Linked DNA regions of Callithrix jacchus. The protein of the gene in region 7 purifies or fractionates together with the protein of the main gene of each other region. This does not show direct contact. Links are inferred from orthologs where the notes say so. Each region holds a gene or a part of one and is shown on either strand. Other genes may lie near its edges. The genes, in order: SF3B2, TRA2B, RNPS1, SNRPA1, PSMA4, HNRNPM and U2AF2.

Region 1 (3,674 bases), on a different chromosome or scaffold from region 7:
TTGGCGGTTTTTAAAGTATTTTAGATCTGGGTTTTTAGTTTTTATTAATTTGGGGAAAATTTTGATCATGATGTCTTCCGATATTTTCTCTGCTCCCTTCTTTCCTTTGGGAACTCAAATTATTCCTCTATTAGGTGTCTTGAAGTTGCCCCACTGCTCACTGATGCTCTTAATTTTTAAAGAAATTCTTCTCTCTTTGTATTTCATTTTAGAAAATTTCTATTGCTATGTGTTCAAGTTTACTATTTTTTCTTGTGTAATTTCTGATCCAACAGTAATCCCAAACAATGTGATTCTCCTTTCTAGATGTTTTATTTAGGGTTTTTTATATCTATTCTTTCTCTCTTATTTAACTTTTTGAACGTGTGGAATGCAGTTATGATAGTATTTAATTTTATTAATTTAATGTAATTTTAATTTTATTTTGAGATGGAATCTTGCCCTGTTGCCCAGGCTGGAGTGCAGTGGTGCAATCTTGGCTCACTGCAACCTCTGCCTCCCAGGTTCAAGCAATTCTTGTGCCTCAGCCTCCAGAGTAGCTGGGACTACAGGCATGTGCCACCATACCTGGCTAATTTTTTTGTATTTTTAGTAGAGACAGAGTTTTGCCATGTTGACCAGGCTATTCTTGAATTCCTAACCTCAGGTGATCTGCCTGCCTCATCCTCTCAAAGTGCTGGGATTACAGGCCTGCACCTGGCTATAATAATGTTTTAATGTATTGTCTGCCAACTCTAACATCTGTGCCAGTTCTGGGTGATTGCCATTAGCTGATTATTTTCTTCATTATGGATTGTATTTTCCAATTCTTTTGCATATCTGGACATTTTTTCTTTTTCTTTTTTTTTTTTTTTTTTGAGACAGGTTCTCACTGTGTTGCCCAGGCTGGTCTTGAACTTCTGGGCTCAAGCAATCCTCCTGCCTCAGCCTCCCAAAGTGCTGGGATTACAGGCATGAGCCACCGGGCATGTCCGGTACCTGATAATTTTTTATTAAATGCTAGGCTTTGTGAAATTTACCTTGTCTGGTCCATGGAATTTTTGTATTCCTGTACATTTTCTTCAACCTCATCCAAAAATAGTTTGATCTTTTCAGGTCTTGTTTTTGGCGTTCCTGAGGCAGGACTGAAGTAGTCCTCCCCACTGTGAGACACAAGTACCTGTGTACTCCACCCACCATCCTGTGAATCAGGAGGTTTTTCCGTCTGGCTAGTGGGCATTGCACTATTCCCAGTTCTGAGTGAGCAGCGGGTGCTGTTATGAACCTTTTGGGTGCTGCTTAGTACTCCCCTGCATACTTGAGGACCTTCTGTAGGTCTCTTGAGTTCTCTCTGCTCTTTTCTCCAGTACACTTTCTGTGAACCGTTACTGCCTTGATCTCCCTGGACTTTCACCTTCATCCTCCCAACTCATGGAGTCCTCTGGGCTGTCCAGTGGGTCTCCCTTCTTTGTTCTGTGGCCTAGAAACTCAGTGCAGGATGCTGGGGCAGTTGAAGGATTCATCACATTTGTTTCCTATCTCATAAGACTCACTTATATTTTGTTGCCCCATGTCTGGTGTCTTGAAAACCACTGTGCCAGGTGCAGTGGCTCACACCTATAATCCCAGCACTTTGGGAGGCCAAGGCGGGCCGATCACCTGGGGTTGGGAGTTCGAGTCTAGACTGACCAACATAGAGAAACCCTGCCTCTACTAAAAATACAAAAATTGGCCGGGCATAGTGGCACACACTTGAAATCCCAGCTACTTGGGAGGCTGAGGCAGGAGAATCACTTGAACCTGGGAGTCAGAGGTTGTGGTGAGCTAAGATTGCACCATTGCGCACCATGGGCAACAAAAGCAAAACTCTGTCTCAAAAACAAAAAACAAAAAACACAGTTTCATATATTTTGCCCATTTTTTGTTTGTTTCAGGCAGGAGGGTATATCTGATTCTTGTTGCTCCTTGTCAGGAAGCAGAACTCTCAAACTTTGCATATTCATGGAAGAAAAAGAAGGGTACTGTGGACAGGGTATAGTGAGGAGGGCTTCGATAAGGGACCAGACTATGAACCCTTTAGGTCATGGTAAGGAGTTTGGATTTTATTCAGATAATGGACAGAAGCCTCAGACGGTTTTAAGCAAAGGTCTGACAAGACCTGACTTCCATTTTAAGGCATTTACTCTGGCTCCTGTGTGGCGAATAGATTGTCACCTCTTCCAGTGGGAGAGGTAGAGATGAGGGACATGGTCTGGGGTGATAGTGGTAGATTTGCTCTTGTTCCTAGTGTAATTCTTGAAATTGGTGGTGAAACTGGCTGTGGATGGCTCTTGCATTGGAAGGCCTGGAAGTGTGAACTGTGTACATTAGAACTCCAGGCATGACATTCTTTGGGTGGGAACTGTTACAGCCTGCTCTCTTGCCAGCTTCTCTGTACCAAAGTTCTCTTGGAAACTTTTAGGCTCTCTGACCTTTTGACCCTTGTATGCATGTGGGAGTCCTGGTCTGTGATCCCCTAACTTGGTTCAGGGGGCCCCTTAGCTCCATCTCTGTTCCCTGGAGTCGGCACTGTGCCACCCTCCCCTACCCAATTATTTTCTGTCATGGGCCTCCATGAACTGGAGGCTGCATCCCTGGGGAGCTCAGAAGCTCTCCAAGGCACTGAGTGGTGGTGCCACCTGTTTCTTTTGTTTCCACTGCTGGGGACCCTTTTGTCCCTTCCTTTTTGGGCCTGATCCCATTGTCCTTTGCAGAAGTGAGACACCTCAGCTCTTCACTGTGTTGCCAGAGAAGAGAACAGCCACTGTTGGGGGAGCCATGATGGGATCAACCCACATTTATGACATGTCCACGGTGAGTACTTGAAGGACACTGCTTTTGGAGGCTGAGAAAGGCAGCACAAACTAGGGCCTCAGTGACTGTCTTTGGAGATGACAAAGCCCTGATCCCCTTTCCAGGTTATGAGCCGGAAGGGCCCGGCTCCTGAGCTGCAAGGTGTGGAAGTGGCCCTGGCGCCTGAAGAGTTGGAGCTGGATCCTATGGCCATGACCCAGAAGTATGAGGAGCATGTGCGGGAGCAGCAGGCTCAAGTGGAGAAGGAGGACTTCAGCGACATGGTGGCTGAGCATGCTGCCAAACAGAAGGTAGGTGCTTCCAGGGGGCTGGGCTGAGTGAGAGCCAGGGACCCTGGCCTGCCGATTTCCAGTGGCGTAGTGCCCCCTAGTGGTCAGAGTGAGGGTGGCCTCTGCTTGCTGCCCTGCACTTCCTTAGATTTGGAAATCTTAGAAATCTCCAGTGGGCTGCCCTCTTTAAGGACGGTGATGGGGAGGAGCTCAGCCAAGTCTGAGAGGAATCTGGAAAAGAATCCGGATTCAGCACCTTTCCCACAGACTTCTATGTCTATGTCAGGCTGCCCACCCTTGTTTTGGGGGCCCAGGGGTGGCTCAACCTGTTGTAATGTGCCTTTCTCCCATACAGCAAAAGAAGCGGAAAGCTCAGCCCCAGGACAGCCGTGGGGGCAGCAAGAAATACAAGGAGTTCAAGTTTTAGGCCCCCTCACGCTGGCCTTCCTTTCAGTCCTCCGTCTGGATGCCTGGGCTTCACACAAGAGCCACCTCTCCCGCAATTCCCAAGGACTTGTCATTTCATGTTCTTATTTTAGACCTGTTTTGTAAATAAAGCTGTTTCCCAAGGAA
Region 2 (4,205 bases), on a different chromosome or scaffold from region 7:
TGAAATTGTGATGATGGTTGCACAGTTCTGGGAATAAATGCCATTTGAATTGTACACTTTAAATACGGGCATTGCATAGTAGATGAGTTATATCTCAATAAAGCTATTTTTAAAAATCAGGAATGGGAGATATTGGACTGAGGCGGGAGGATCACTTGAGACTGGGAGGCAGAGGTTGCAATAAGCCTCCATTCTGGACGATAGAGCGAGAGACCCCCTGTCTCAAAACAAAACAAAACAAAACAAAAGGCCCTTTACCTGTACCAAAGTACCTCACCAGCCAGGTACCACCTTTTCAGTGGATGAGGAGAACTGCAGAGGGATTAAGTATCCAACATAGGGGTCAGGGGCGGTGGTTTACACCTATAATCCCAACACTTTGGGAGGCCGAGATGAGAGGATCGCTTGAGCCAGGAGTTCGAGACCAGCCTGGCCAATACGGCAAAACTCTGTCGCTATAAACAATACAAAAAAATTAGCCAGGCATGGTGGCGGGCACCTGTAATTCAGCTATCCAGGAGGCTGAGGCAGGAGAATGGCTTGAACCTGGGAGGCAGAGATTGCAGTGGCCTGAGATTGCGTCATTGCACTCCAGCCTGGGCGACAGAGTAAGTCCCCATTTCAAAAAGAAAGGAAACAAAGTAGGTATCAGACTTGTGTTCTTCTCACTATATTCTCTTACGCAATGGCAGAATTAAGCTTCCCTCCTTGTGACATCCCTGCAGTTATACATGCCTCTAGCACTTATAATCATTTTAATTGTTTAACGGTTCTCATCTATTATTTCCTAACTTCAGAACAGAGATTGTTCTGATTCCTGTGTATCAAGATCTGACCTTTTTTAAATGAAGACGTATTCAGGAAAGAAATAGCTGCAAGTAAAGCGAAATGAAGTAAGAACCAGTGTACCAATATTCCCTCTCAAACAAAGGAAAAACATGAAACGAGAAACTAACAAGGCGGAGAAAGGAATGGAAACTGGGGGAAGCAGAGAGCATCTCCTCCCTCCCCGCTCCCTCGACAGGTTCCTTGGAAAGTTCTAGAAGGGATTAAGGTGTGACTGGTGACATCACCGTGGGCCCGTGGCGCCCACCACAGCAGCCAACCGGCAGGCTAGCTTTCCCGCCTGAGAGAGGCCGAGGAACGGGGGTGGGGCCCTGAGAGCGACGGGCTTGCGTCATTTCCGGTGCGGGACGCGAGGCTGTTGGAGAGAAAAGGCAAAGCGAGGAGGGGCGAGGCCAAAAAAGCGCGCGTTTCTGGGCGGGGGCGGAGCCTGGCTAAGGAGCGCCGCGTCACGTCCGGTAGAGTTAGAGCCCGTGCGGAGGCGGTGCGGAGCGGTTGTGCTCTGAGCGGCTGGGCTACCCGGTGTGTCGTGCGGGGCTGCGGCTGAGCCTCCTTAGAGAAGGCGCGAGAGGTTGGCAGCTTCGATTGAAGCACCTCGACCGGCGACAACAGCCAGGAGTCATGAGCGACAGCGGCGAGCAGAACTACGGCGAGCGGGTACGTAGAGCTGGTGTAGGGGGCGGCTGCGTGGTCCCAACTCCTTCCGTCTTTTTGTAGGCCCATCGGCCTTGGGCCGGGAGGCTGCGGCGTTTTAGGCTCCGAAGTCTGAAGCTGGGAGGGCAGGCAAGGGAGCAGCGTTGAGGCAAAAAAAAAGCCCTTGTGGATAGTGTCTTAGTGCCTTTGGTCGTGAAGGAGGGAGGACACCGGCGGGTTTATGTGGCTTCTGCCCGAGACGGCCGTTTCTCCCGTTATAAGCGGGGGAAGATGAAAATGGCCGCTGCGTCCCCGCGCTGTTGGGGGAGGGGAGTGGTATCTTTCGCCGTTGCTCTCCTGCGAAGGTCCGCCGCAGCCATCTTGGACTGGCGGGCTGGGCGCGCTGCCAGAGGCACAAAATGGCGGAGGAGCCGCGCGGCTACTCGGGCCCGACCCGCTGCGAGCCGCGCCTCGCAAGGCCGCGTGGTGGGGTGAGAGGAGGCAGACGGCATTCCTTGGGGTCTTTGGCCAGGTGTTGAGGTTAACGAAGGGCCGTCTTTGCCTCCCCGGAAAGGACGGAGTCTGGTATGTCCTTGGGGGGCTTAAGATGGAAACTAATCCGAGATCGACTAAGTTCTGGGCCTGTTAGGTGGAGGGGATTGCGCGAGGGCTTTGTGTTTGGCTTCAATGAAGTGCTTTTTTTCTGGTACCGAGAGGGCTTCCCAGGCAAAAGTCCGTATCAGTAAGCTATTAGAGCAGACCACAAAGTCGCTAAGATGGTTTTGTGGCCATCGCTTTTCCCCAGAATTATGAAGGAGAAATTGACGGGCAACAATTGACGGCGCCGTTATTTCCTTTGTTTTGAGGCGTTCTAATACTTAGAACCACAGCGTGTGTTGGGTACAATTTCCTTTAAGTTTCCACCTCTTAAAGGTGTTCAGTGAGGGTCAGTTGAATTGCCGGAACAAGACAGTTCTAGGGTTTAAACAACATACACAGCCTCTCAGTGGGGCTCTGGGTATTAGATTCGCAGAGCATTGAATGATGCGAAGATACAAGGATTGCTGCATTAGGAATCTCTTAATAGGAAGGTAATAAAAAACCACCACAGAAATTGATTTTTGAGGCTGTTACGGGAGTAATTTGTGCTTTTTTTTTTTTTTTTTTTAACTTGTTACCTAAGTTTTCCCTTACCGGTAGAGCCACCTTAAGATCTGAATATGATTTATCAGGTAAATAAGACTATTAAATGTCTTAGCAAAAGTTTGTATTAATAATAGTTTAGAAAGAAACTCTCTTACCTCCTGGCGCCTTAGTAATGAAGCGAGAGTAACCAGTTTAGAGCCAAAGCTGATTAATTTGGTTTGAACTAATCAAGCCTTGCGTTTACATATTCGGATGAGCATAGTTTTTTTAGTTTTTCATGTTTTACCTTAAGAGGATTGACTCCAGTGTCACGAGTTTAGATTTTAAGTTCTTTCTTTCATGGGTAAGAAAGTAGGGATTGGGCTCAAAAGTTAAGAGTGACTTTGTTGGCAGTTGAATCAACTGTTAAAACTAGTCATTGGCTAGTTTAGACTGCAAAGTAAGCGATTTTAAAGCCTTTCGTTATTAAACAGCAGTTATTGGGTACCTTTGTACTCTACAAAAATACAAAATGGCTTCAGACTAGGGGAACTCTCAGTTGAATACACTTGAAGAAGCTGCATATGGTATGCTTGAGAATGGAAAATTGCCGGAAGAGTTAATTAGTACATTTTACGGGAGAAGGAAACAACTGAAGGAACTAAGTTCCAGTTTGAGACTCGGCTCAAGAGAAATCTGAAATTTTCGGATTGGTGGTTTTCTTTCTACTAGTAAAAGTACAATTGTTTTGTTCACAGTCTTTCAATTGTAGAGGGAGGTTAACTTAAATGTGTTAAAACTGAGATTTTTTTTTACCTAAGAGTCTTGGCTTATTGGCCGAGGTGTCTAAACATTGAAGTTGTGAAATGCTTAACATTGTTTTGTTTGGTGTTTGTGTTCCAGTTGGAACCGTTAAGGGTTGGAATACACCTGAATAAAATTTGGAAGTCTAGGATTCCAAAACAATGTTAGGAAAACCTTAAAGCTCAATGGAATAGTTTAATCTTAGACATGCCTGTGGGGTAAATGCTTCTCTGGAGCGAGAAAAATGAGTTTCCTTCAGCTCCAGCCAGGCTTCTGAACTGGCTTAATGTAAATCACTAATCTCTTCAAATCAGCTGGAATTCTGCCTTATTTATGTGTCTCTAATCCAGACGTCCCCACCCTTCTGTGCCCCACCTTTTCTAATAACTGTAGGAGTTTATTGTTGTGTCCCTCCCCTTTAAGATTGGGTGTATGGGATAAATTATTCCCAATTTGATCACTAATAGAATACAGTGCTTATTGGATGAGTATAATGACACTTAAAAACTGTTTCACTGTGTCTCTAATGCCTTGTTGGTCTGTGGGATTTATCTCCCCACCCCCCCAATCTCAGTAATAGATTTACACTAAATCAGTCTATAGGGGTCTAATTAGCAGACTTAACCGGATCTGGCCAAACCACTTTCGAAAGTAAGATCGGTCTCATTTTTATCTCCAGATTTAAGCCTGTTTTCCTTCCCCTCCCCCCACCCCCCAAAATTGCTTGACTTTTTATTAAGGGGTTGACTAGCACCTTTTCTTCGCAAAAAGAGGCACTCCTGGCAGTTAAGAATTTGAAC
Region 3 (4,448 bases), on a different chromosome or scaffold from region 7:
GCCCCCTTCCCCAACACTGACTCTGGGGCCCCTTCAGCAGAGAGGGGCTGCCCCTCTGTTCACTTACCACTTCGTGCCTGGCCACAGCAGGTGTGACAGTAATGCAGAGAATCTAACTTACTTTGCATGTCATCAAACCCAAATCCAACAGGGGCACCCAAACCAGACTGGGCCTGCCAACCTCCACCCACAGGAACACACTGGTGACTTAGTGCCGTGGACCCAGGAGGTGACTCCTCCCCCCAGCGGCCTTTGTCCCCAAGTCCTCGGACATCCCTTAGCCCAGGGTGAAGGGTCAAGGGCACACCTGACCCTTGGACAGGGCCAGAGGGAGTGGGTCTAGCCAGGAAGTCAGCAGGAACTAGCGTCCCACACAGGAAGGAGGGCAGTGATAGCAGACCCCGTCCTGGCTGTCTGTCCATCCATCCGCCCACTCACTCCAGGTCGCCCAGCTGCACCCAGCCCCTTTGCTCCGACATCGAAAGTCTCCAAGTCATGCCGGTTCTCTCCTCCCAAAGATCTGCTTGGATCTGTTCCCTTCTCCCATCCTTGCTGCCACGAAGCTGTTCAAAGTCCGAAGCTGAGCGCACCGTCAACCCCTCCACAAACAATCACAGGGCAACGACTGCCCGCCAGGCGCAGCAGTGAACACAACCTGCCCTCTCCGTCTGGGGCGCCAGTGCGGAGCCTCCCGCCTGTGTCTGGGCCTGCGCCCCTACGGCGTCACCCTCTCCCATGTCCCAGCCAGAGGCGCCGCCACCTCTGGGCTCTCCCTGCCGGGACCCCGCACCCGCAGCTGAATGAAGCCTCGGCGCTGCGCCGTTCACACGCTCCGTGCTGCCGCCGCGAAGCTCGCGCGGAACCTTCCCCGCTTCCAGAGAACCTCGGCCCCTGCTGTTACCCCGTCACACGCACCGTTCCTCTCGGGTCTCCGCGGCAGGGCCACCACCCCCAGACGCCCCCCTGTGCACCCCATCTCCTACCCTCAAACTCGTCGCTCCTCCTGCCCACACTGCCCAGCTGCCGCGCCCACCCGGCGGAGCTCCACCTGCGTGGAGGCCGCGTCCACGCGGGCACCCCAAACGCCACCGGTAGGTCTGGAGCACGCGAACGCACGCCCGGCCCCGGCCCATCTCTCCGAGCTGCCTCCACCCTGCGGGTCCCCACGTCGCGCCAAGCAAAGCCGCAGAGCCCGCGCGCCTTTCTTGTACGACTACCCCGCCGCCGCCGCCGCGCGGCCGGGCCCGGGGCCCAGCGTCCGGTGTCGGGGGCCGGAGGAGGCCTAGGCGGGCCCAGAGCACCCGCGCAAGGAAAGGGACTGGGCACGGCCGCGTTAACCCCCTCCGCGCCAGACGACGAGCCTCGGTCATCGCGCGGCCCTACCAGCCTCAGCAGGCTACCCCTGTGCCCGCTGCAGCAAGCGTGCAACCGGCCCGGCCAGTCACAGACTCCTCCGGCCGGGACACACCGCCGGCGGGGAGACACCGCGAGCGCTCCAACGCGGCTCACACACGCCGCCTTGACTCTCTGAACACTTCACCGCTCGCGCCCATTGGCCCAGGCATTTACGTCATCGCTGCGCGCCGGACGGCAGCGTCTTCCCGCTCCTTAACTCTGACGTCAGAGCGGAGCCGGCTTGAGCGGCTGAGAAAGGCAGGAGGAGGTGTCGGCGGCGGGAAGATGTAAGTGGGGCGGAATCCGACCGCATCCGAGCTTTAGGGGTTGCCAGTCAGGCCCGGCAGGAAGCATCGTGAAGCTGGTCCACTCCCCAGCCCCGCAGTGCGGCGGCAGCATGGCGGCGCGGTGCGGACTCTAAAAAGAAAGAGTGTAGCCCGGGGTGGGCGGGGTGGGAGGTGTCGTGGCCGTGGCCCGGAAGTGGTCGGGGCCGCGGCGGACGGAAGGGCGCCTCTGCTTCGTCCGTTCGGCGGCGGCCCAGCCAGGCCCGTGGGACTCTGAGCAGCGGGGAGCGCGGCTTCCGCCCTTGGGGCCCTCCTGCCGTGCCGGAGACCCAGGCCCCCAACGCCAGGCCCTGCCCTAGAAGCGCTCGCGGCCCGGCGCCTGGACAAGGGAGTTGTGAGTGAACGCGGACGGGGAGCGGCGAGGTCGGCGTGTCGGGCCGGTGCCGGCGGGCGCGGAGTTTCTTTGTGGGATACAGTGGAAGGCTGGCCGATCCCCCCATCGGAGGCATTGATTCAAACATGCACTCCGCGAACGTTTCCCGGGCTCCCGTGTGCAGTTCTCGGCGCTAGGCCTGGGGGATGTGGCCCGCTATGGACCGAGCACGGTGGCCTGGCCCCGTTTGATGGGTTAACCCCGGAGGGGTGGATACGGGAAGGTTAAGGTTGCTGGAGGAGAAACGTGGAGTAGGCTTTTTGTCTTGATTTCGCATGAACTGTGCCTGAAATGTACTTTTAAATGGGGAAGGCGCTCTGAAGATTTGTGCCGAAACGCCCTCTCCTCGAGATTTAACTAACTGTTCTCTCCTCTCTCTGGCTGTTGGACGCGCACCTTTCCGGAGGATGGGGGAGGTAACCGAGGTCCTGAGCCGGTACCTGAACTTGTGTGAACAGAGAACCTCAACCTTTGCTTTCTAGCATTCGACCGCACCCAGCAAAGCGTCCGCTTTCTCAGTGGTTCTTAGAGTGCTTAAGAACGGTGCTCCTTGATCTCACGAAGCGAATCAAAGTAGCGGTGTTTGATTTCACAGAGTACATTTGGGCAGATCTTTAGGACTAGGGGGTGGGGCTGGAATATGCGGGTGTGACCTGCACTCTAGATCTGTGCTGTCCAGTGAGGTAGCCATTGGCCCCACGTGGCTACTGAGCATGTTGAAATACAGCAGCTAATCAAAACTGAGATGTTAAAACACACCCCAAATTTAGAAGACTTACTCTGAACAACAACAAAAAAAGAAACCTTTAGATTTTTATGTTGATTATTTGATGGAAAAGTATTTTGGATTTGTGTCAAATGTTAATTAATTTCACCCATTTTTGTGACGTGGCTACTAAGGAATTTGAGATTCTGCTTGTGGCTCCTCACACTATTTCTGTTGGACAGTGCTGCTGCAGATGATCCTAAGGTGGGTGGGTGCGGGAGCCCTGCAGAGAGTTCAGAAATTACGTGGGACTTTGGAGACAAGTGTCTGGGGGGGGGGAAGGAGCCTCTGGACGTGAAGATAAAACCCTTGCTTCTCACATGTATTGAGCCTTTGATTAATGCCCTGCATAACTGTAAGGTTGGAACTGTAGTTGTCTCCATATTGATGATGAGAAACTTGAAAAACGATAAGTGACCTGTTCAAAATTGCACAGTAAAACTTCAAATCAAACCCAGGCCTCCTGGCTCCAGACTGGGAATTATACTCTGATACTCACTGTTTGTCCAAGGACACCAGCCATACCGGGCACTGCCTGCTGGGTGTCTGCAGAACATCACTGTTCTGAGGCAAAACACTATGCCCTGGACAAGAGCAGCAAAGGTGATGTTCGGCCCTCCATGACTCATTTGACAGCTCAAAGCCAGGTGCTCTTCTTTCTTGGTCAGAACACGTTTTCAGCACTGGCATTTCTGCATGGGGAAACCAGAACCCCATTAGTGTGCTGTGCCCTGCTTACGTACAGGCTGTTGGTTGGAGAAGGTGAGACAGAAGTAGCTGAGACTCACATCCTGAGAGCTTTACTTAAAAACTCATGCAGCTTGTGCAGACCTGGCTGGAAATACTGAAGGCAGCAGTCCCTCTGAAATAGAGCCCATAGCTTATTAGCAGTTTGTTTTGAGTAATTTGTTACCATTATTTGAGCACACGCTGCAGTCCAGGCGTTTTGCTAAACTTAAACGTAGGTAGTCTTACGTGGTAGGTAGTCTCTCCCGAAACCTCAGTGCCTACTTTTTTTCTTCAACATCTTATTTTTGAAAAGTTTAAGCACATAGGAAGGTTGAATTATACAGTTAATGCCCACAAAAACCACTTGAGGGCTGGGAGCGGTGGCTTATGCCTGTAATTACAGCACTTTTGGGAGGCCAAGGTGGGCTGATCACGAAGTTAGGAGTTTGAGACCAGGCTGGCCAGTATGGTGAAACCCTGTCTCTACTAAAAACACAAAAATTAGCCAGGCGTGGTGGCACACACCTTTAGTCCCAGCTACTCAGGAAGCTGAGGCAGAAGAATCACCTACACCCAGGAGACAGAGGTTGCAGTGAGCTGAGATCGTGCCAGTGTACTCCAGCCTGGTGACTCCGTCTCGAAAAAAACCCTTAAAAGTTTGTTACATTTCTGCTTTATTTGAAGTAAATTGCACACTTGCATGTGTTTTCCCTACACACTCAGTATGCATATTCCTAAAGTACAGTGTTTGCAATCACTGCTTTTTAAATGTCCATGCGGTACATTTTATCTGTTTGCATTTGGGTGTTAAGTGTTTTGATGCTGGTACTAGTCACTTTTG
Region 4 (4,286 bases), on a different chromosome or scaffold from region 7:
GCAACATTTACCGCAGGTGGAAAATTACTTTCCCCAGCAGACCCTTACCATATTCTGTTGTTGTTCACTAACAATGTTTTTAGTCTTCTCAGCAAAGGAAAGCCATCCAGTTTCCTGATCTCATTGTCAGAAAAATCAATCGCATCAAACTGGTCTAGCGTAGCACCTAGATTTTCAATGACGGGAATTTTATACCCTGTAAAATGGAGGAAAAAAAACACACAAGAGGTATTAATATAACTAAACAGCCTCTTAAAAGATGAGCAGTATTTCACAGGAATCAGACTCCAGGCCTTGATTCACTCAGGAAGTATTACTTACCTAGCACCTACGCCATGTTTCCTACGCCTTGCCACTGCACAAGGTACTAGAGATAAAATGCTGAATGAGGGTGGCAAGTCCCCAGTGCCATGAAGCTTACAGTCTGATGACAACAGGGACAAGGACAGTAATGATAGGTGAGATAGTTAGCTAACATTTATAAGACCATTTACAAGGTGCACACTGTTCTACGTCTTCAGGGCTAGTTAGGCGGAAGCAGCACAACAGGAATTTACCACTTCGGGCTGCTCAGTTTCAGTGCCCAAACAAGGTTCCAACACCGTGGACAACAGTTCTCCACCTCTTGCACCCCCACAGGCCAGATTCTTAGAACCCATCAGAACAGCCTCAAGATGACAGTTCTCCCTTCTCTCCCCCAGCTCCAATTCACAGTTGGAGGTCAATGGTTTACATACTTAATTTGTCTAAGTTGGGCATTATTATGTTAGGAGCTAAAAGAAATATTCCAAAGAAACAAGGTCTATTTAAAAAAAAAAAAAAACTCAGCCAAAGTTAAAGTACACAACTCAGGGCTGTACTACAAGTACTGCATCAAAAGAAGTATTCTCAACACTGCACGCACTCCACAGAGAGAAATGGCAGAGATCACCGTAAGTGATGATTTGCTCTTGAACTGAACCTTTCTCTAAGAAACTTAAATTCAACAAAATAAAAATACTGGGCCAGACGCGGTGGTTCAAGCCTGTAATCCCATCACTTTAGGATGCCGAGGTGGGTGGATCGTCTAAGGTCCGGAGTTCGAGATCAACCTGACCAACATGGAGAAACCCTGTCTCTACTAAAAATATAAAGTTAGCCGGACGTGATGGCACATGCCTGTAATCCCAGCTACTCGGGGGAGGCGGGGAGGGCTGAGGCAGAAGAATCGCTTGAACCCAGGAGGGGGAGGTTGCATTGAGCCAAGATTGTGCCATTGCACTCCAGCCTGGGCAACAAGAGCAAAACTCAGACAAAAAAAAAAAAAAAAAGGAAAGAAGAAAGAAAGAAAGAGAGAGAGAGAAAGAAAGAAAGAAAAAACTGGGGGCTGGGCGCGGTGGTTCACGTCTGTAATCCCAGCGCTTTGGGAGTCCAACGGGGGCAGATCACTTGAGGTCAAGAATTCAAGACCTGCCTGACCAACATGGTGAAACCCCATCTCTACTAAAAATACAAAAATCAGCCAGGCGCAGTGGTACATGCCTGAAATCCCAGCTACCCGGGAGGCGGAGGCACAAGAATCACTTGAACCAGGGACGCAGAGTTTACAGTGAGCCGAGATCACACCACTGCACTCCAGCAAAGGGGAAAGAACAAGACTTCATCTCAACGCAACACAACACAACACAAAACAATGCGATTCCCCAAAGGTCAGCAAGAAATCAAAGCAAATCCCGAGACCATAGGTCCCCGTGGGAATCTCAGGCTACGACTGCACTGCCGTACCCCAGAGAAGTTGCTCTTCACATTCTTTCTAAAGCGGTCTCCTGAAATGCCAACTAGCTAACTGCCCTCCCAATTTCTTACCAAGTCTTACTAAGGTTGAAATAGTACAGGAATCTAAATAATTGTGAGCGCTTCCGCAACTTACACACAGCACCCGGCGGTGGAAGCCTGGGTGAAACAGTTCAATCTTTAAAACGTCTTCACGAAGGGGAAACGCCAAACAATTAAAGCTACTAAGTAGAAAATACTGGGGTAGCCGGGCGCGGTGGCTCACGCCTGTAATCCCAGCACTTTGGGAGGCCGAGGCGGGAGGATCACGAGGTCAAGAAATCGAGACCATCCTGGTCAACATGGTGAAACCCCGTCTCTACTAAAAATCAAAAAATTAGCTGGGCATGGTGGCGCGTGCCTGTAATCCCAGCGACTCAGGAGGCTGAGGCAGGAGAATTGCTTGAACGCAGGAGGCGGAGGTTGCGGTGAGCCGAGATGGCGCCATTGCACTCCAGCCTGTGTAACAAGAGCAAAACTCCGTCTCAAAAAGAAAGAAAGAAAGAAAATACTGGGGTAAACAATCGCTTTTGTTCGGGGACTTAGTTTCTTCCATCACATTAAGAATAATGAAGACATATCCTATCTACACTCACAATATCATCTGGCGGCAAGTACTGAGAACCAATCACTCGCCCTGCACTAGGGTTACCACCGTTAATGAGTCGCTCTTCCCGGCCCTCAGAGTCCGCTACGAAACAGCCAAGCAAGGCCTAACAGAGCCCCACGAGCATGCAGCAGGGAGTAATGAAATCACCCGTGCTTCTCAGGAGGCACAGCAGTAACAGAAGGCTCCCAAGAGCCTAACGGGACGCGCGCTTGGCAACAACGGCAAGAATCAGGCAGGGCGGTCTCGGCGCAGCCCGATCCGGGTCTAGATTACCCACCCGCGGGCCAAGCTCCGGCCTTCGGTGCACGCGGCGGAGCGCGGATCGTAAGGCGGCGCAGTGCCGCCCTGGGACTGCCCGCCCGCGCCCCCGGACTCACCTCGGAGGTCCAGCTCCCGGTCGCGCACCGCATTGGTGTATTGGGCCGCCTGCTCGATCAACTCCGCCGTCAGCTTGACCATTCTGCCGCCTCTGGCTTCCCAGCGTAGCCGAAAGGACGCTGCCTCCTGCGTCCCAACGTGCCCCGCGCCGCGCCGCGCCGCCAGGCAGCACCAATCGCATCCGCCGAGTGCGCGCGCAGCTCGACCGCCAGGCCGAAGCAATCGAAGAGCCACGCCCCCGGGGTTGTTCTGGCCCCAAGTCCTGGCGCGCGCGCTGGGGACGTGTTTGTTTCTGGGTTCTTTCCTGGGGTGTATCTGGAGTCTGATGGACCTCAGATTCCAGACGTTGGTGTTTAAAAGTTAAGGCGAATGTGGAAACACCCGAGGGGAACTTTCTCATGCACTAGCTCACCTTGAGGTGGGAGGGGAAGCTGTGATTGTCCCCAGCAGGCGCGGGGACCCGTGGGCTTCAGTGAAGGGTCGACGAGTTCAGGTACCTGTCCCGAGCCTAGACCTTGGCCCCAGGCTACAGCGTGAGCTCCCGGGCTAGGTGACCCGCCCGGGGCAGGTCGCTGGGACAACTCCACCGCCCCGCCAGTGCAACCCGGTCGCGGGCACGGTAGGGTTTGCCGTTAGGTTTGCGGCCTTTAGACTTCTGAATATTCATATAAAGTATGATATACAGAAAAGTGTGCAAATCAGGTGTTTACAGCGTGACTAATGACCAGAGTGAACACAACTGCATAGCCGACGCCGGGATCCAAAAAAAACCCACTGTTTTGAAAACCTCCCTCTTCGCAAAGGCAACCGCAAACTCAACACCACAGACTCGTTTTAGAAATTCCATTTGACCCAGCAATCCCGTTACTGGGTATATACCCAAAGGATTATAAATCATTCTGTTATAAAGACACATGCACACGTATGTTCATAGCGGCACTATTTACAATAGCAAAGACCTGGAAGCAACCCAAATGCCCATCAGTGATAGACTGGACAAGGAAAATGTGGCATATATGCACCATGGAATACTATGCAGCCATAAAAAACGATGAGTTCTCATCTTTCATAGGGACATGGATGAATCTGGAAACCATCATTCTCAGCAAAGGACACAAGAACAGAAAATCAAACACCGAATGTTCTAACTCTCATTGAACAATGATAACATGGACACAGGGAGGGGAGCATCACACACTGGGGTCTGTGGTGGGGACAAGAGAGGGACAGCGGGGAGTGGGGGCAGGTCGGGGAGGGATAACATGGGGAGGAATGCCAGATGTAGGTGATGGGGTGGGGGAGGATGGAGGCAGCAAACCACTTTGCCATGTGTGTACCTACCCAACAATCATGTATGATCAGCACATGTACCCCAGAAACCTAAAGTATAATTAAAAAAAAAAAGTAAAAAAAATTTGGAAAAAACTAAAAAATAACAATAAAAAATATAAATTTTTAAAACTGAAAAAATAAATAGAATCCCACA
Region 5 (3,976 bases), on a different chromosome or scaffold from region 7:
CTTGTTCTTTAGTAAGATTCAGTATAGTGCAACAAAATCCCGTGTAGCTATTCTATTATTATTCTTATTTTTAAAGACAGGGTTTCACCATGTTGGTCAGGCTGGTCTTGAACTCCCGACCTCAGGTGATCCGCCTGCCTTGGCCTCCAAAGTGCTTGGATTATAGGCGTGAGCCACAATGCCCGGCCTCTGCGTAGCTATTCTAAACAATACTTTGAGGACCTACTATATGTCAAACACTATACTATTGTATTTAATTCATTTTATTTCATTAAACTGCCACAACCACTTTAGGAGGCTCTGGGGCCCAAAGAAATTAAATAATTGGGCTGGGCATGGCGTCTCATGCCTGTAATCCCAGCACTTTGCGAGGCCAAGGCAGGTGGATCACGAGGTCAAGAGATCGCGACCATCCTGGTCAACATGGTGAAACCCCGTCTCTACTAAAAACACAAAAAATTAGCTGGGCATGGTGGCGCATGCCTGTAATCCCAGCTACTCAGGAGGCTGAGGTAGGAGAACTGCCTGAACCCAGGAGGCGGAGGTTGCAGTGAGCCGATATCGCGCCACTGCACTCCAGCCTGGGTAACAAGAGCGAAACTCCGTCTCAAAAAAAAAAAAAAATTAAATAATTGGTGCAAGGTCACGTAGCCTGTATGGGTAAAGCCTGGACTTGAACCCAAATCTCTGTGACTAAATCTGTACCTTTATCATTACACAATGCTGGCTTCTCCACTAAGTGTTTGCTCTGCACGTAAAAGGATACCAGGCCTCAAAGAGGTTTCAAGCAAAATAAAGGTACAAGTTCAATTCTATGACATCACAGGGAAGAGCCCTCCCAAATTACATAGCTCCCACTTATGTGAGAAAGTGAGATATTTTTTAAAACTCTTTCCTAAAATCTCACTTACTCATTGAGTTTATAAATTTTTTCAGAAAAAAAGACTTCATCAAGAAGCTTGTGGATGTTGCGTCTCTCTGCTGCAAGCAAAACACCATCATTTGCTAAAATTCCCAAACAGGTGCCTGCATGTCCAATCGCTTCCATGGCATATTCAACTTGGTATAAGCGACCTACAAAACAAAAGCAGTGAGAAGCCAAGACTCTCCTCTGTGCTCTCGCATCACTGGCCCAAAAGAAATCAGCAGTGAAGCAAGCTAGAAACAAAAGTCCCACTTTTACTCTTCTAGGGTATAATCAATCTGGTGACCATAATTGCTTCAAAGAACAAAAGGGAGGAACTTTGCAACTACAAAAAGTTTGTACATTTTTTTTTCTGTAAAAGTCTAACACATTTTTTTTTTTAACTTGAGGCAGATTAAACAATTTCTATTTTACCTTCTGGAGAAAATATAGTGGTCCTGGAGTCATATCTTCGAGACTGCAAAGGAAAAACACACAAGTGATTCCTATCCACTGAAAGTAAGCCAGCTCCTGCAAGCCTACAAATCATCTTACAGAACCTATCCTGGCACATAAAGTTCAATGGGTGAGAGGAAACTGACAAGAAAGAAGGCGCCATCCCACTGCCTTCCTTTCATTTCAATTTCCCCACACAAGTCTGTAAACTGCGTACAATACTATTTATCAGGCAACAGTTTATTGGCATTAACTCACCATGTTTTCTGAACTTTATCTAGTTCCTGTAAAAAGAAAATCGGATCATCATTAAAATAAGATTCACAAATTAAAAACCATCTGCTGACTTTACAAATCTGTTTTATTTACTCCCTTTATTCAGCCAACAGTCAGGCATTATGCTAGATGCTGGAATACCAAAATGTGTAAAACCAATTCCTGTCCTGAAAAGCTAATACTGGCAGTTAGGTGACAGAGGCAGACATAGATTATAATGTAGAAAGAGGAACCGAGGGTAGGGTGGGAAAAGGGATGAAGAAAAATCAAGAAAGTATTTTTTGAGAAACCAATACAGAAAATGAAACTAAATCAAGAGGCAGCAGAGGCAGAAAAAAGGCCAAGAACCCTTGGGTCTAAGAGAAAGAACAGGGGAAGAAAGAGGGGAAGGGCATTCCAGATGGGGCAGAAAGTATGAACAAAGGGTACTGAGGCATGGTAACTTAGTGGGCATGAGACAAACTGCTGATCTTTGAAAAAATGTATAAATAAAAGCTAAGCAAGTATCCAAATCACGCGGGGCCTTGAATGCCAAGTGAAGAGGCTTAGGCCTTCTCCAGAGAGTGATCTGGGTCCTGAACTTGGGGCTGAAGGCGGTTATCTTGGGCAACATGAGTACCATTCGTGCAAAAGACAACACTGGGTACGCAGCGTTATTCGGTAGAAAAGCCTCAGTCCAAAGCCCACATTCCCAAATACTGGAATATAGGAAATGAAGCCTGGAAAGGTAAGCTGGAATCAAATCCTGGAGAGCCCGCGTGCCCACGTGAAAACTGAGTTTCATCTCTCAGTCAAGGGGCTCCTCTGAATGATTCCCAAGGGACACAGGAACTGATTGGCATTTTAAATGATCACTCAGGCTAGCGAGGCCGAGGGCAGCGAACTGGCTAAGACAGCTACAATAGGAAGGTGCAAAGGAAGGATGGCCCAGAGCAGAGAAGCAGGGAGGACACAGACACTCGCCGGGCGTTTCTGATTCGAGAGTAAGCGCAACTTTCTGTTGTCTCCACGCCTGACGCCGGCACAGCACGATCGTGAGTTCACCGGCACCGGGAGCGCTAACTTTCACGTACCGAACTCCCGGGGACGGAAGCCGCCCCGACTCCTCGATCCTGCCCACAGACCCCCGCCCTCAGCCCGCCCCCTCGCCGGGCCCCGCGTCCAGATTCGGCACCGGGAAGCCCCCAACGGCGGCCGGCGGGGGCCAGTCCCGGCGGCCGGTCCGTCACCGAGGAGGCGGTGCAGAGTCATCGTGCCCACAGCTCCTCGGCGGCGGCTGCAGCCGAGACCTACTGGCTAGCCGTTCACGAGCCCCGCCTGAGGAGCGAGCGGCCAAGCTTCTGCGGGCTCCTAGGGGGCAAAGGCTTACCAGAGGGAAGACCCTGAAGACTTGTGACGTCCACAGAGCCCTTAACTCCGCGGGAGAAAGATCACCAGCGCTGCCAGATTATCCGCTGCTAATATGGCCCCCGCACATGCGCAGAACCTCCGGGGAGGGGGCGGGACGGCTGAGGACGCGGAAGTTCTCCTTGCAGGGCGGAGTGAGAACCCTTGGCCCTCGTGGGAGCTGGGGCGCGAGGTGCGGGGACTCTGGGGCGCTGGAGCCCTCAGCAGGTGGAGAGGCTGCTGTGCTATGGTGAGGAGGGCACTAAGAGCGTAGCCAACCAGAGTGGAATTGCTGTATAGCTAATTTCCTTCTCCTACTCTTGGGGCTCTACTTTCACTTTCTCTTGACTATTCAGAGCTAGGATAACACATAGTGTGGACCTGCCTCTTAATTGCTATCATTCCTGTCCTGTTTCCCAAAACGGTTCCAACCATATCAGACTTCACCCGTCTCATCATCTCCCTTTTTCATTATGGCTTCCACTATTACTGCTGATGCATACACTTTTGGACATATAAATTATGATGAGGAAGGCTGGGCGGGGTGGCTCACGCCGGTAATCCCAGCACTTTGAAAGGAGGCCAAGGTGGGTGGATCACCTCGGGTCGGGAGTTCGAGGCCAGTCTGGTCAATATGGTTAAACCCCATCTCTACTAAAAATACAAAAATTAGCTGGGCGTGGTTGCAGGTGCCTGTAATCCTAGCTACTCAGGAGGCTGAGGCAGGAGAATCGCTTGAATTTGGGAGGTGGAGGTTGCAGTGAGCTGAGAGTACGCCACTTTACTCCAGTCTGGGCTGGAGTAAAGAGTGAGACTCCGTCTCAAAAGAAAAAAAAATAATAATGAGTGTCAGCACGGTGACTCACACCTGTAATTCTACGGCTTTGGGAAGCTGAGGCAGGAGGCTGGCTTGAGGCTAGGAGTTTGAGGCTGCAATGAGGTATGATTGCACCG
Region 6 (3,370 bases), about 41 Mb from region 7:
GAGCCTGACTCAAGCAGGGTCTGTGCTACAGGGAGTTAACCTCACAAAAGGGAGACTGGATGGCTTGGGAGGCTTTTTTGATGGAGTCTCACTCTGCCACACGGGCTGGAATGCAATGGTGCGATCTTGGCTCACTGCAACCTCTGCCTCCCGGGTACAAGCGATACTCCTGCCTCAGCCTCGAGTAGCTGGGATTACAGGTACACCTCCCCTCCACACACCTGGCTAATATTTGCATTTTTAGTAGAGATGGGGTTTCACCATGTTGGCCAGGCTGATCTCAAAACTCCTGACCACAGGTGATCCGCCCACCTCAGCCTCCCAAAGTTCTGGGATGACAGGCATGAGCCACCGTGCCCAGCCTTGTGAAGCTCTGAACAGCAAATGCCCCATTATCAGCCCAAGGATAACAGCCCACAGGAAGGCAGTTTCCAGGGAATAGTCTCCCTTTTTGAGGGTAGGCACTCACCTCTAGGCCCTCAGACAAGCAAGAGTGGGGATGAGGTTTCTGGAGATCGCTGCTCCTCAGACTGGAAGCCCAAGTGGCTCTGGCTCCCCACATTTCAGGTGGTTGCCCACATACCACACACAAGGATGCTGCTTTCAGGAACCAGTATTTATTATCAAAGTCATATTTGATGTCAACAAGATGCCACAACTACAAAAAAAATTGCGCACGTTGCAATCTCAATGCAAACAGTCAAATGGAACCCCAGTCATTAAAAAAGTAATTCAAATTACCCCAAAAAGCAACTGAATTTTTTAAACATCTTTATACATCCAGCCAACAAATTAAAATGGTTAACAAGAAAAAATACAAATTCAGAGGTCTGGTATCGATGTTTAAAAAAGGCAACTGCTTAAGCGTTTCTATCGATTCGAACATCAATCTCTCGGCCATTGAGCTTCATGCCATTCATCATCCGGCAGGCTCTCTCAGCCACCTCTGGTGACTCGAACTTAACCACACCGCACCCCTTGGACTTCCCGTTCTCCATCTTGATGTCGGCATATAGCACGTGGCCTGCACAGGGAGGGAAGGAGAGACCACATGTCAGGCAAACTCAGAGCTCAGCCTGTCTAGACTGTACTCAGTCCCTATCACCTGATGGATTCTGGTGGACAGAGTCAAAAAGGAGAGGCCCCAAGAACCAGTGACTGTGGCCCTGGGCCCACACTACCGTTCTGCTAACAGAGCCTGCCCCTGCCCCAGGAAAAGCCTTCCTGAAAGTTCAAAAAAGAAGGCACCATGTAAAGTCAGCTTTAGAGGCAGAAGGCTGGCTATATATATTTTGGAGGCTTCATTTTTGATAAGCCACTGCCTCTGGTTACAAAGCCATCCACAATCCAATGGACACATCTGTACTGTCCAAGTGTAAGCCAGCACACTGCATATATTCATTTGAACACCTATTTAGCATCCAGAGATGTGTCAACACTGTGGAAACAGGCCAGGCCTACAGGGTCAGAGCACTAGAGGCTAAAGGTGCTAGGGCCACAAAGCCAGAGGCAGGAAGGAACTCAGCCTAGGAGATGGCCCAGAGCAGGGAGGATGGAGGGGTCCCCTCAGGGGCAAGTTCTGAGAGCTTGCACAAATTCACCAGAAAGATGATTTGCCAATGGGGGCTTGCATACAGCACTGCAGGGTGCTTGTAGTACTTGCTGCTCAGGTTCTGGGATGGGAGGGAGATAGAGGAGCAAGGGACCAGTCCTCAAGGGGCTTGAGAGTCTGGACTTTCTCTTGAAGGCTAAGCGTCCCTCTAGGCATTGCGAAAGTGGGGGCCTGTGATCCCACTGACCTTTTCAGAATAGCTACAATGTGGAAACTCAGGAGTGAGGAAAGAAACAGGTTGACTCAATGGCTTGCCCCAAAAACCATGGAGAAGCAGCAATGATGGTGAAATCAGAGCAGCTGCTGAAACAGGAAGTGGGAGGACAGGGTGGAAGCAACTGCTCAGCCCTGGTTCAGGCCCCTCTGGCTAAAGAGAACAGAGGTGGTGCATGAGGGGTGAGGGCTTACCCTGGAGGGCAGGGAAGGAAGACAACTTGCTTCCAGCCCAAGAGGAAGCCTTCCAGAAGGGTTGTCTAACATGCCAGGAAACCACGAGACCTTAGCCTCACCCTCACATGAGCAGCTGTGCACCCAGAGCCCACAGCGCCTCCCCATGGCATCTGCTAGGCTGGGCATTCCCTGAGAGGCCCTCAGTCAGCTGTGCTGAGGGAAAACTGACCTCATCTGGGATGTATTTGCCACCTAGAAGCCAGGTGAGCTCAGAAAGACGACTTTGCCTGACATCTGTAAAATGCAGACACTATTACCTTGTTTCAAAAGCCTCAACAAAGGAAAAGAAAAGTAATTAAGGATGAAATAACAGGTGAAAAACATGTGACACATCACAGGACACTCAGCCTAACCTGAGCATTGGCATGGGCAGAACAATGGCAAGGCCATGAGTCCTGGGCTGATGGAGAGGGCCGGGAGGGAGGCTTTGCTGACTCAGCTGCATTACCAAGCATGAGGCAAGGACCTAGAAAGCCATTCCCATCACTTACCACACTCGTTGAATTTGTCCTTTAGCATCTTCCATGTGAAATCGAATGGGAGCTGAGGGGGGAGAAGAAAAGGGAGACTGATGTGTGATTAAAGTAAATCCTAAGTTAGCATGCCTTGCAGCTGGCTCTGAGGGCCAAGCTAAGTTTCTTACTACACCAAGAAGTGCTGCCCTTCAGACTGATGGCATCAGCAGGTCCATGTGGGACAAGGCTGTGAAGGGGCACAGCCAGCTCCTCCCTGGGGCTCTGCCAGTGGGAGCACCAAGCAGGGCGGGACGCTTGGACCTGCGATGCACAACCATCACTCAAAAGAGGCTAAGGGTGGCTGAGCTGGGGGAACTAATTCTGTTACAGCCACTTCTTTCCCTGGATCATTGTGCAACAAGACTCTGGCTCATTAAGCGATCAGAAACTGGAGTCTCTGAGCTCAGAGTCTGCTCCATATTCTAGCACAGTGGAGAAGCCCAGGCAATTCCTGAACCCAGTTCTCACATTCCTTACTTGTCCTACTAGCACAAAACATTAGGGACAAGGGCAATGAGGTGTGGTCCCTTCTGTGGAGCGCCACCTCTGATTTCATCCTGCGGATCTCTGCCTCCCTCGTCCCCTGGTGCTCACCACCACCAAGAAGTTCCCCAAGAGCCACTTACATTTCTCACAAATATCTGGCAGGCCTTCCTGGCCACCCCAGGAGCATGGCCTCCAGCTCCACCAAAGGAACCTGCGAAGCTTCCTCCAAAGTTGCCACGCTCCATCTCAATGGCACGGTCAAAGCTGGCACCGCCACCGCCACCCATGGCCAGGCCCATGCGCTCGA
Region 7 (3,674 bases):
AGGGGGGCAGGGTAACCTCAGTCTGACCAACAGTGGGCCTCAGAGCCCCTCCCAGGTGCCCTTTCACCCTCCCCCCCACCATGTAAGCTGCACTCTCTCCAGGGAAGGAGAGGATCCGGGACAGGGCCTGGGGAAGGGGTGCTGGTTTCAAGGCAAGTGGACTCTTCCCAGTGCTTGGGCCAGGGCTGGAAGCGGACAGGGCAGGGTAGGCGGGCGTGAGGAAGGTGAAGGGAGTGGACATCAGGGAGGAAGGGGCAGGAAGAGAAGCTCACATCAATCCACCGTGCTCCTCTTTAGCGCCTCTGGTCAAAGGTTTGCTGGGGGGTGGGAGGGAAAGGTATGGGGAGGGGTGACTGGGGACCCTCGTCTTCCCCACATGCCACACCCCCCCAAGGGCACTGAGCCCCAGGATGGGAGCAGGGCCGAGGTGAACAAGCAGCAAGCAGGCCCCCCTCGGCCCTGCCATTTCCCCCCAAACACTCCCACCCCCAGGAAAGAGGAAGTGAGGAAAGGAGACAGGGGCCAGGGGCCAGGAAGGACCAGTCTCTAGCTGGAGAAACTGCTGGGAGAAGGCAGGAGAACTCTGCCTATCCTGCCCTTCCTCACCTAAGGGGCAGAGAACAGAGACGGGAGCCTAGAGAGAAAAAGGCGGTGGAAACCAACACCCCTGGGCCAGAAAAGAAGCCCAGGCTGTGTACACTGCCTCACTCCCAGGAGCTCCCTTCTCCAAGGAGGCAGGGAAGAAAGAAACTGGAGGCAGAGACCAACCCCCTCGAATAGAGTCCCACAGAGAGCCCCAGAGAGTTGACAAGAAGAAACAGGCAGTCAGAGTCAGAGACAGAGAACAGCCCCTTGCAAAGGAAAACACAGAATCAATTCCATGGCCCCAGAGAAAGAACCTATTGCTCCCAGCAACCCACCAGCAACCCCCAATAGAGGAAATGAAAGAAACCCCAGAAACGGGGGAAAAATCGGAATTCAAGACAGACCAAGCAGTAGATCCCTCCCCCAGATCCACACAAAGAAAGATGAGCCACAGAAGGCCTGGGCCCAGATACAGAATCAATGGGCCACCCCCAGGCTGGCCAACACCCACCCCCCACCCGACTCCCAGGCTGGCCCAGCCCGGGGTCCCTGAGCCCTAGTACCTTCGGCGCCGCCTGTCCCGGGAAGCGCTCCGCTGGTCCCGGTTGCGCCGGTCTCTGCTCCGGCTGCGGCGTTTGCGGTCCCGGCTTCGAGAGCGGCTGTGGCTGCGCTTCCTATGCCGATTCTCCTTGTCCCGCTCTGGGCAAGGGTGAGAGGAAGGGGATGCGATGAGCGGAGTAAGGATGTGGACCCAGCCCACCCTGCGCACTGGTGGCTATGTCCCAAGCCCCAGGGAGGCCACCCCCCAAAGGGAAGGGATTCGATGGAGGAAGGGAATTAACAGGCCTCCTAGATCCACAAGCGAGTCCAGGGACCCTGAGGGGACCAGGGGGACGGGCCTGGAAATGCCCCCGGGGTGTAAGATACCTGAGGATGCTCAGGAGGAGCTGGGGAGCCAGAGAAGACAGAGGCTGGCTCCTGGTCCCCCTCGAGGGCTGAGGGGCCTGACCCCAGGGTCGTCCCTGAGAGGGGCAGGGCTAGAGGCTGGGGAATCAAGAGACCCAATGATGTTTTCCTGAAGGGACGCAGAGACCCCTCAGGAAAGACCTCTGCAACCAGCTGGCACCCACAGCCCCATCATCAGGCCTAGAGGTCAGGTGCCAGGCAGGATTTGATATCCCCAGGAAGCAGGGAAACTCAACCCATCCCTTCCCAACCTGGTGAATAATGCAGAAGCAAGCACGCTTCCCCCGGGGAGTGAAGGGCCTTGAAGCAGCTGCAGATGGAGGGTACAGAGCCCTCCTCTGCTTCAGCAGGTCAGGGGAGGAGCTTGCCCTACCCAGACTTTCACCCCAAACCACCTGACTCTCCCTGCCTCGCTCCCTTCAAAGCCAAGTACTGGAGAGGTTGTAGAGTACGGGTGTGTATCTCCGCCAGCCTCCAGACGTCCTATTTTCCTCCAAGGTGGCCACTAGAAACAGAGCCTCACTGGCAAAACCACAGAAACCTCTGCTTCCACCAGACCCTTCAACTCCTGAAGACCAACCCTTCAAGATGGAGGATAAACCATGAGCTGGGGGTGTTCATAAGCACCACTTAGAATTCCCTGAATTCAGAGATACCCAGATTTCTCAACTATCCATGAAACACACACACACACAAGATGCACATGTTAAGGTGCTCATACATGTTAACAAGCATCACCTAGAGTGATGATCCCTGGGGCCAGAGGGGGGAAAAGGCACAGAGGGAGAATGTTAAACTTCAGCCTCACCCAGCATTTTGTTATTCTGACACCAGATGAATGTTGGGAAAAGCATCACAATTCCAAAACCACCAACACTCAGAAAAATATGCACCCAGCGGGGGGAAAAAAACAGTAACAAATAATGTGATGCTTCTTACGACGGAAATCTGTATTAAATAGTTCTGTTTGCAAAAAATTAGCTGGGCATGGTGACGCATGCCTGTAATCCCAGCTACTTGGGAGGTTGAGGCAGGAGAACTGCCTGAACCCAGGAGGCAGAGGTTGTGGTGAGCCGAGATCGCGCCACTGCACTCCAGCCCGGGTAACAAGAGTAAAATTCTGTCTCAAAAAAAAAAAAAAAAAAGTTCTGTTTGTACTTAATCCTCACTACTGCTTCAGAAAAACACTGCTGGGGGCTGACATAATGGATAAGGAAACTGAGGTACAGAGAGACCACAACTTGCCCAAGGCCAAACAGCTAGAAAATGGTGAAGCCGGAATTTCAACTCTGTAAAGCCATCAAGTTCAGCATGAGGCCATGCTCCTGAATTCGGATCAGGCAGGACATTCTGGCTAGAACCACTAATGACAATGCAATTGTCGGCTTGAAGGCCCAAAACCCCAAAATCAAAGACAGAAACGGGGGGGAACAATCAGCAGGACAAGCCAGCAGCGGAGTAAGCACACAGGCATGGCAGCGGGCACAGCGCTGGCTCCACACTTGAAAGATGGACAGGCTGTGAGCCCCAGGAGCCCTTCCTGCTGCTAAGGCTCTGAAACAGGCAGCAGGCAGAAAGGAACACACGCACAGAAAGCAGTGACGCCTGGCTGGGTGCCTGGGACATAGACAAGGAAATTCCCTGTAGACACAGCGAGCAGAGGAAGGCGCTGAAGCAGAAGCGGGCAGGTACAGAAGCTGGCCCGTCCTCCAAAGAGACAAAGACCCACAGCCAGAATGATACGTGTGCGCGGGCAGAGCTTCCCCTACGGCAAGAACCCTCTCCCACACACTGATGCTGGACAGGTAAAAACAGAAAGGGAGTTTCGTTTGCTGAAAACATTGTATTGTGGTCATCTTATGGGAGCAGCTCCGCCAACCCAGGAACCACGCCAGGTCCAGGCACTGGCCTCCCAGCATCAGAGGAGAAACCACAGGAGAACCAGTACGGTGCCATCTAAGGGCCTCAAAGAACGGACCAATCAGCTCGACTTGGTGGTCAGCATAGAGGAACGTGGCTTTGCAGCCAGCCAGAGCTCAAAATCAGTACCTGTTTTTCTACTTACCAACAACATAAAACCATGCAAAAGCAACTGAAGCCTTTAAGATTTGGTTTTTTCTTCT

What was found.
Region 1: the proteins of U2AF2 (region 7) and SF3B2 purify together in Homo sapiens (affinity purification with mass spectrometry; 3 studies listed by BioGRID and IntAct, counting the BioPlex papers as one, with this or other methods). This does not show direct contact. The link is inferred for Callithrix jacchus from reciprocal best matches to the Homo sapiens genes U2AF2 and SF3B2.
Region 2: the proteins of U2AF2 (region 7) and TRA2B purify together in Homo sapiens (affinity purification with mass spectrometry; 4 studies listed by BioGRID and IntAct, counting the BioPlex papers as one, with this or other methods). This does not show direct contact. The link is inferred for Callithrix jacchus from reciprocal best matches to the Homo sapiens genes U2AF2 and TRA2B.
Region 3: the proteins of U2AF2 (region 7) and RNPS1 purify together in Homo sapiens (co-immunoprecipitation; 6 studies listed by BioGRID and IntAct, counting the BioPlex papers as one, with this or other methods). This does not show direct contact. The link is inferred for Callithrix jacchus from reciprocal best matches to the Homo sapiens genes U2AF2 and RNPS1.
Region 4: the proteins of U2AF2 (region 7) and SNRPA1 fractionate together in Homo sapiens (co-fractionation; 3 studies listed by BioGRID, with this or other methods). This does not show direct contact. The link is inferred for Callithrix jacchus from reciprocal best matches to the Homo sapiens genes U2AF2 and SNRPA1.
Region 5: the proteins of U2AF2 (region 7) and PSMA4 fractionate together in Homo sapiens (co-fractionation; 3 studies listed by BioGRID, with this or other methods). This does not show direct contact. The link is inferred for Callithrix jacchus from reciprocal best matches to the Homo sapiens genes U2AF2 and PSMA4.
Region 6: the proteins of U2AF2 (region 7) and HNRNPM fractionate together in Homo sapiens (co-fractionation; 4 studies listed by BioGRID, with this or other methods). This does not show direct contact. The link is inferred for Callithrix jacchus from reciprocal best matches to the Homo sapiens genes U2AF2 and HNRNPM.

What each region holds. Positions count from the first base shown.
Region 1 is NC_133511.1:123,141,589-123,145,262, forward strand, and holds part of SF3B2 (splicing factor 3B subunit 2), read left to right. Parts: intron 1-2,732; coding exon 2,733-2,832; intron 2,833-2,936; coding exon 2,937-3,122; intron 3,123-3,456; coding exon 3,457-3,528; 3' UTR 3,529-3,674. UniProt on the Homo sapiens protein: Component of the 17S U2 SnRNP complex of the spliceosome, a large ribonucleoprotein complex that removes introns from transcribed pre-mRNAs.
Region 2 is NC_133516.1:14,879,658-14,883,862, reverse strand, and holds the start of TRA2B (transformer-2 protein homolog beta), read left to right. Parts: upstream 1-1,309; 5' UTR 1,310-1,464; coding exon 1,465-1,500; intron 1,501-4,205. UniProt on the Homo sapiens protein: Sequence-specific RNA-binding protein which participates in the control of pre-mRNA splicing. Can either activate or suppress exon inclusion. Acts additively with RBMX to promote exon 7 inclusion of the survival motor neuron SMN2.
Region 3 is NC_133513.1:4,501,292-4,505,739, forward strand, and holds the start of RNPS1 (RNA-binding protein with serine-rich domain 1), read left to right. Parts: upstream 1-1,622; 5' UTR 1,623-1,680; coding exon of another isoform or gene 1,681-1,682; exon of another isoform or gene 1,683-4,263; intron 4,264-4,448. Other genes in the region: uncharacterized protein LOC144578542, read left to right, coding at 344-1,531. UniProt on the Homo sapiens protein: Part of pre- and post-splicing multiprotein mRNP complexes. Auxiliary component of the splicing-dependent multiprotein exon junction complex (EJC) deposited at splice junction on mRNAs.
Region 4 is NC_133507.1:8,684,958-8,689,243, reverse strand, and holds the start of SNRPA1 (U2 small nuclear ribonucleoprotein A'), read right to left. Parts: upstream 2,948-4,286; 5' UTR 2,882-2,947; coding exon 2,800-2,881; intron 197-2,799; coding exon 49-196; intron 1-48. UniProt on the Homo sapiens protein: Involved in pre-mRNA splicing as component of the spliceosome. Associated with sn-RNP U2, where it contributes to the binding of stem loop IV of U2 snRNA.
Region 5 is NC_133509.1:25,910,374-25,914,349, reverse strand, and holds the start of PSMA4 (proteasome subunit alpha type-4), read right to left. Parts: upstream 2,594-3,976; intron 2,280-2,593; coding exon of another isoform or gene 2,248-2,279; intron 1,645-2,247; 5' UTR 1,622-1,644; coding exon 1,619-1,621; intron 1,383-1,618; coding exon 1,340-1,382; intron 1,075-1,339; coding exon 912-1,074; intron 1-911. Other genes in the region: uncharacterized protein LOC144577225, read left to right, coding at 2,248-2,279, 2,664-3,272. UniProt on the Homo sapiens protein: Component of the 20S core proteasome complex involved in the proteolytic degradation of most intracellular proteins. This complex plays numerous essential roles within the cell by associating with different regulatory particles.
Region 6 is NC_133523.1:8,004,108-8,007,477, reverse strand, and holds the end of HNRNPM (heterogeneous nuclear ribonucleoprotein M), read right to left. Parts: coding exon 3,204-3,370; intron 2,606-3,203; coding exon 2,554-2,605; intron 1,025-2,553; coding exon 861-1,024; 3' UTR 602-860; downstream 1-601. UniProt on the Homo sapiens protein: Pre-mRNA binding protein in vivo, binds avidly to poly(G) and poly(U) RNA homopolymers in vitro. Involved in splicing.
Region 7 is NC_133523.1:48,521,777-48,525,450, reverse strand, and holds part of U2AF2 (splicing factor U2AF 65 kDa subunit), read right to left. Parts: intron 1,285-3,674; coding exon 1,149-1,284; intron 318-1,148; coding exon 273-317; intron 1-272. UniProt on the Homo sapiens protein: Plays a role in pre-mRNA splicing and 3'-end processing. By recruiting PRPF19 and the PRP19C/Prp19 complex/NTC/Nineteen complex to the RNA polymerase II C-terminal domain (CTD), and thereby pre-mRNA, may couple transcription to splicing.